Saccharomyces cerevisiae S288C: one gene and its partner. The gene in region 2 interacts genetically with the main gene of each other region. Each region holds a gene or a part of one and is shown on either strand. Other genes may lie near its edges.

Evidence for each region.
Region 1: of OPT1 (region 2) and MRK1, extra expression of one rescues a mutant of the other (dosage rescue), as found in Saccharomyces cerevisiae (one study listed by BioGRID).

Annotation. Positions count from the first base shown.
Region 1 is NC_001136.10:312,998-316,754, forward strand, and holds the start of MRK1 (putative serine/threonine protein kinase MRK1), read right to left. Parts: upstream 1,752-3,757; coding exon 1,340-1,751; intron 1,048-1,339; coding exon 1-1,047. Other genes in the region: malate dehydrogenase MDH3, read right to left, coding at 2,360-3,391.
Region 2 is NC_001142.9:34,156-37,912, reverse strand, and holds the start of OPT1 (oligopeptide transporter OPT1), read left to right. Parts: upstream 1-1,663; coding exon 1,664-3,757. Other genes in the region: PEX2 (ubiquitin-protein ligase peroxin 2), read right to left, coding at 179-994. UniProt on the Saccharomyces cerevisiae protein: High affinity transporter for glutathione. Also transports tetra- and pentapeptides like the opioids leucine enkephalin (Tyr-Gly-Gly-Phe-Leu) and methionine enkephalin (Tyr-Gly-Gly_Phe-Met) across the cell membrane.

The DNA.
Region 1 (3,757 bases), on a different chromosome or scaffold from region 2:
CAATGGCGGGCCGTTCCACAAGTGGAACATGGCCCAACTCAGTTTCCACGTCGAAGTCAAATATACGCAGGTTTTGTGCTTTTACGTAAGTGTCGGTATCACAACGTTTGGTTTCGTCAAAATAGCTTGATAATAGACATTGTAGAGGTACCAATCTTTCGCAAGGGTGATACTTCAGAGTTTTTGTTAACAAGTCAAGAGTATCGGGATCTTCGGCTTTGAATATTTCAGCCAAAGTAATGGGCTTGATATTGGGGAAAACATGGTCTTCATAATTTGGGTTCATTCCTGAAATTTCATCCTTTGTGGGTATGCCCATTATCTTAATAATTTCCACCAACTGATCTATACCGCTTTCACCAGAGAACAAGGGCTTGCCCAAAAGCAACTCAGCAATGACACAAGCGCTTGACCACACGTCGACCTGGTTTGAGTAATTAGTGGCACCAAACATGAGTTCGGGAGCCCTATAGTACCTTGAACAGATGTAAGACACATTAGGCTGATCCGGTTTCAAGCATTTGGCACTGCCAAAATCGCAAATCTTGAAAGAAAAAGTTGTCGGATCCACCAGTAGGTTTTGCGGTTTTATATCTCTGTGACAGATTCGAGGAACGTTATGCAAATAGTTTAAAGCTTTGAATAGTTGGTATGCATAGAATTTAATTTCAACACGCGGCATCTGCATTTTCAAATTAACAAAATGACGAAGCCTTTGGTATAACGACTGAGGCATGTAGTCCAAAACCAGATTGAGGTATACTTCATCTTCTTCGTCCTTTTCGTAAAAGTAGTACTGTAGACCCACAGTATTTGGATGGCACAACATCTTCATAGTTTCGAGCTCCCTATTTTTATATCTTCTATCTTGTAGTACTTTCTTTATGGCAACTTTTTGATTGGTCTCAATTATTACAGTCGTGACTACAACACCAAATGAACCATGGCCAACCACTTCTGTCGTAGGATAACTGATGTCGATAGTTCCTCCATGATTTTTTCGGTCGACATCAGTTTTGCGGTCATGTTTATAAACCCGTTTATGAACTAAACCTATGTTAGTATATAATGTGATTCCCATAAAAAATGGTAGTTGATGTAATATGGAAAAATGTTCCGCTATGCTTCCTGATATTTCGTAAGCAAGTTTCTAAGATTAGGGATGCAATTTCATAAATCTTTATTTTACACTCTCTTTTTTTTTCTTTTAATTATTTTTTTTTGTGTCGCGATACTATGAACTGACAGTAGTTCCACTATTCACTCCGGTTGTGACGAAAGAAACATTCCTCCACTGGCAAGAACATAAAAAAAAAAAATAAAAAATAATTATACATACTAGTCCTTTCCTTGGTTTTAATATACCTATAATCAAAATTAATCATTTTCTCAACCTTCTCTTTACTAAGCTTGCTACTAATATTTTCGTGCTTATTGGCAACTTTTCCATCTGTTTTACTGTCCGAGATATTGGCGTGTTCAATGTGATCAACTGCAATACCCTCCTTTCCCCCGTCTATCAGTTTAGATATTATAAGATTCTCTATGTCGTTGATGTACTCTGAACTGTTATTGAAATTAGGTACAGTATGGTGAACTTGAACGTCGCTTACCTTTTTGATTGTATCAGGCTTTCTCTTCTTCTTTTCTAGGGCAGTATTACTCTGTATAGATGTCTTGTGTTTTAGCTGAAGGTTATCTGAGTTATTGAAGGAAATCTTTCGCACTAGGCTTCTCAACACATCGGTCATAGTAGACTATTTTACAATTTTCACCTCTTCAATCTTGAGATTATTTTCAAGTCCCTTCCCCGCAGTATGGTAGAAACGGAAATACTTGTATGCAGCAGGGTTCTTATAGCACCAGTATTTTTTAGAGAATGCTTATTTAAGTTGCAAGATATAGCGACAAAAGGAGAACCAATCTTTCTCAGATCCGCCGCTGGAACAGCTCTCCGGTAGATCCTAACGGATAATGCTGCCCCTGGTTAGTTCCTCATCGGACGACTTTGCTCCCAGGGGCGGCCTTTGTCTTTCTCTTTTGCAGAATCAACTCTATTTTCCCCACCCCCCCGCTTTTTTTTTTTCATGTTCCTTTACCAATCTTTGAAAAATCACGAGATGGTGCATATTTGACAAGGAACGCTTAAAACATCGTGGAGTGAGTGTGGTAAAGGTAAACTGGTCATAGCGGAATTGGTCATAGCGGCGTAGTGCAGCGCAGCCACTAGGAGGATATGGTTTCCTTTCCTTCAATTTACTTGAGTATAAAATATCATAGTAAGCGAAACATTATACAACGATATGAGTCAAGATACAAAGGAGTATAGAGTTAAGAAAAATATAAAAATTGAAGTAGCTCATAGCTTGGAAGAGTCTAGGATGAAACTCTTGCCTTTTTCAATATTCTTGCGTAGCTCTTTGACCGCAGTATTAACGAGTTGTTCCTCTCTCGGAGACAGTTTTTCCAGAACACTGGTATCGATGGATACTACGCTACCATTTCTCAAAACAATTGGCAAGGAAAAATACTCAATAGAGTTGTCGCCAACTAATTGCTGCGCTTTCTTACCGTTTTTTAAGCCTGGTAAATAAACGAATGCGGAAAGTGACTCCGTTTCTGGTTTCTCATTATGGAAGCTCCTCAAAACTTCTTCAGCAAACTTGGCCCCCGCGAACGCCATGGACAACGTGGCGGAACCGGCGCCCTGTTTAGCTTTGACAATTTCATCACCTCCGAACTGGACCCTATGAATGAAGTGCTCGTACTGCTTATCAAGTTGAAATACCAGCGATTTGTCGGTGATTATTGGGATAATGGTTTCCCCTGAATGACCCCCAATAACAGTGACCTTTCTGTGCATTGTAGTTTTGTCTTGTTCTTGTCCAATTTTGGGGTTTTTTAGCATCAAATAATCTACCAAAAAGGTTTCTGCACGTACCAGGTCAAGGTTCGTCACACCCATAACGTTTCCAGGTTTGAACTTACCCATTTTCTTCAAAGTTTCCACAGCAATAGGGACCAAACTGTTTACAGGGTTTGAAATGACTAAAATCCTCGCATTTGGTGCGAACTTTCCAACAGCGGTTACCAGGCTTTTGACAATACCGGCGTTCATCTTGAACAAATCATCTCTAGTTAAACCGGGCTTTCTGGGAACACCAGCCGGTATTAGCACCACCTGAGCATTTGACAAGGTGTTCTCAATACTATCCTTATCATAACCGACACAACTTGAGTTGGTGTTGATGTGAGATAAATCCTTACCAATGCCTTCCGCAGCTCGGATATCGTACAACGCCAGCTCGGAAACGTAAGGGCTTAATTTTAGCAGTAATGATAGCGGTTGTCCCACGCCACCAGAAGCGCCAAGAATTGCGACTTTGACCATGTTTATGATTGTTTGTCTCTTTTTATTTTCTTTTGCACTGACAAGTGTTTTCCCTTGATTTACGAAGGCCTTGATTGTTTTATGCTTGAATTCAAACCCAGCAATTCTTCCTTTTTCCCTTAGTCTTTTATAGGCCGGCGAAATTTATGATGGGCAGTAAAACTCCAATAGTAACGAACCGAAGGGGTTCAAAAGTTGTCAACTCGTGGAAATTCACACGTAAGAAGGATACAGAAAATCTTGAGTAATAGACCATGCCAAGCATGTCCACTAGTCATAACGGCATTGCTCGTCATACGATAGGGTATTGAACACCTTTCGGCCGGACCGGCGTTAACTCCGGCCATATAAATGTGGTAAAAAAGG
Region 2 (3,757 bases):
ATCGTCCCGTACAGCGTTCCATGATGATATTATACCACTTCTTTATTGTTTCTTTTTTTTCTTGAGCAGAAAGTGAAAAAAAAAAAACCAGACCCTTTACCACGTGACCGATTTTGACAACATGAATATGAATATAGTATACACATATATAGAGATACAAGCGAGGGAACGGGGCCCTTTAGTACACTGGTGAGGCGGTCAGTCTCCCAGAGGATCCACAGGCATCGCACATAGACCACTCCAACGCCTTTACAACGCACACGTAACAGTAGTTCGCACGACAACAAGCGATCTGGTATGGGTTGGTTGGAAAACCGCCGCAACGGGGGCAAACTGTCTTATAAGTAGTCGTAGAACGAGACCTTGGTGGTTTTTTAACAAAGGTCAAGAGTCCTCTTTTCGTAAGTAGTGTATTGGAAAAGAGTTCTAATAGTGCATTCCATAGCAATTGTCTATTCTGGTATTCTAACCCAGCGAATACAGAGTTCGAATAAAATTCAGAGGCAATTGCAGAACCATCCCGAATCAACCTTGTGGAATGGACATTAAAAGCCCGGTATAACGGCGACAAAAACGCCCTCGCATTGGGCCCTTCCGCTGCTAGAAACCTCAGGAAGTTGGTTACATCACAGCCGTGATACAATAAATTAACCCATTTGTACAGCTTCAGCCACATCATCTGGTTCCCACAGTGCGGCCCATTAAAAATAATATGTGTGATCTTCTTCCACACGTACCCTGCCAAGACAGTGACGACATACAAGGTGCGTTTCCTGCACTGAAAAACCACGCCACTGAGTGCGGATCCATACGTACAGCTAGAGCCATAGTGTGGCAGGAACCTCGTCGCGCACATAAACACAACTGTGTTCAGTGCCAACTCCCATTCCTCTTTGTGTTCACTCGTATTGAATGCTGCATTGAACTCGGACCAAAACTGTCCATACAATTCTTTATCAAGCGCTATCGAGTCGAGCTGTGCAACTCGAGACATGCTGCGTTGCCTTTAGATTACGTCTTCTCAGTTATCTCGGCAATCTCTCCTCGTTATGCTTTCCCTCCGTCTTCACTCATCCCTTATAATGCGTTTCCCAGCAACCTTATCGATAGAATGGAGGGGAAATCGCATCCGTTCCACTCCTCGGATCGATACTAACTTCCGAGACGTTGCATCAAAGGCCAAGACATGGCATTAGTCACCCTTGTTGCAACGATAGACGCATACTACGGACCCCTCAAACCTCCCTACCTGCCCGTCGCTATCGCATTAATTTTCTTTTTTTCCACTATTTTTCCGGCCCGCCACACCTCCGACTACAAGACGCCACATCTACGTTTTGTCACACAAAATCCAGGACAATAGCCGTCTGCAAGGCACCAAGGTTTTCAGCAGTTGCTTGTTGCTGCTGCCTGTTAATCACATCAAACCCACTGCAAGGGCAGTCGATGGGTCTGTAAACGCCTTAGCAATCGTTGTTGAAGAAAGAGAGCTCTTATCATCATGGGGTGCCCATCATTTTTCTTTTTTTTTCAAATTTTGGGCTATTCAATGAATTGTTTCGACTATATATGGACAATCATCGGAAGCTGTGTATTCTTGGTAAAAAGTTTTCGACTGTGTGGCAGAAAATAACCGCAACAATTATATAACGTCACAGAACACATGAGTACCATTTATAGGGAGAGCGACTCGTTGGAGTCGGAGCCCTCGCCAACGCCAACAACCATTCCTATCCAGATCAATATGGAAGAGGAAAAGAAAGATGCTTTCGTTAAGAATATTGACGAGGACGTCAATAATCTCACTGCGACTACTGATGAGGAGGACCGCGATCCGGAAAGCCAAAAATTCGACAGGCATTCCATACAGGAGGAAGGTCTCGTTTGGAAGGGCGACCCTACATACTTGCCCAATTCTCCATATCCTGAAGTGAGATCGGCGGTGTCCATCGAGGATGACCCCACCATCCGCCTCAACCACTGGAGAACGTGGTTCTTGACCACGGTGTTTGTGGTAGTTTTCGCCGGTGTTAATCAATTTTTTTCCCTGAGATATCCATCGCTAGAGATCAACTTCCTTGTTGCACAAGTTGTTTGCTACCCAATTGGTAGGATACTGGCTCTCTTGCCCGACTGGAAGTGTTCTAAAGTGCCATTTTTCGATTTAAACCCGGGCCCATTTACCAAAAAGGAACACGCCGTGGTCACAATTGCCGTGGCGCTTACTTCCTCTACTGCATACGCTATGTACATTTTGAACGCCCAGGGAAGCTTTTACAACATGAAACTTAATGTCGGATATCAGTTCTTGTTGGTTTGGACATCTCAAATGATTGGTTATGGTGCTGCAGGTCTTACCAGAAGATGGGTCGTCAACCCTGCAAGCTCTATCTGGCCTCAGACTTTAATTTCAGTGTCCTTGTTTGATTCGTTGCACTCGAGAAAAGTTGAAAAGACAGTCGCAAATGGTTGGACGATGCCCCGTTACAGGTTCTTCTTAATCGTCCTTATCGGATCGTTCATCTGGTATTGGGTACCTGGATTCCTCTTTACCGGTCTGTCCTATTTCAACGTTATCCTATGGGGGTCGAAGACAAGACACAATTTCATCGCTAACACAATCTTTGGTACTCAAAGTGGTCTCGGTGCGTTGCCAATTACATTTGACTACACCCAGGTTTCCCAAGCCATGTCCGGCTCTGTTTTCGCCACACCATTCTACGTCTCCGCCAACACCTATGCATCAGTGTTGATATTCTTCGTCATAGTGCTGCCATGTCTTTATTTTACGAATACCTGGTATGCCAAATACATGCCCGTCATTTCAGGTTCTACTTATGACAACACTCAAAACAAATACAACGTAACAAAGATTCTTAACGAGGATTATTCCATTAATCTTGAGAAATATAAGGAATACTCACCGGTATTCGTTCCATTTTCCTATCTTTTGTCGTATGCTTTAAATTTTGCCGCTGTTATCGCCGTTTTTGTCCACTGCATCTTATACCACGGTAAAGATATTGTCGCCAAGTTTAAAGACCGTAAAAATGGTGGCACTGACATTCACATGAGAATCTACTCCAAGAACTATAAGGATTGTCCCGATTGGTGGTATTTACTTTTGCAGATTGTCATGATCGGTTTAGGATTTGTAGCAGTGTGCTGTTTCGATACTAAGTTCCCAGCTTGGGCATTTGTTATTGCAATATTAATTTCCCTTGTAAATTTCATCCCGCAAGGTATCTTGGAAGCAATGACTAACCAACACGTAGGTTTGAATATTATCACAGAATTGATCTGCGGTTATATGCTGCCTTTAAGACCAATGGCAAACTTATTATTCAAGCTATACGGATTTATTGTCATGAGACAAGGCTTGAATTTGAGTAGAGATTTGAAATTAGCCATGTACATGAAGGTTTCCCCTCGTTTGATCTTTGCCGTTCAAATCTATGCCACTATCATATCAGGCATGGTTAACGTTGGTGTCCAGGAATGGATGATGCATAATATCGATGGCTTATGTACCACCGATCAACCAAATGGCTTCACTTGTGCTAATGGTCGCACGGTTTTCAATGCTTCCATTATCTGGTCTTTGCCAAAGTATCTTTTCTCATCAGGGCGCATTTATAATCCGCTGATGTGGTTCTTCTTGATTGGTTTGCTATTCCCACTAGCCGTTTATGCTGTTCAATGGAAATTCCCTAAATTTAAATTTGCTAAGCACATTCATACTCCTGTATTTTTCACA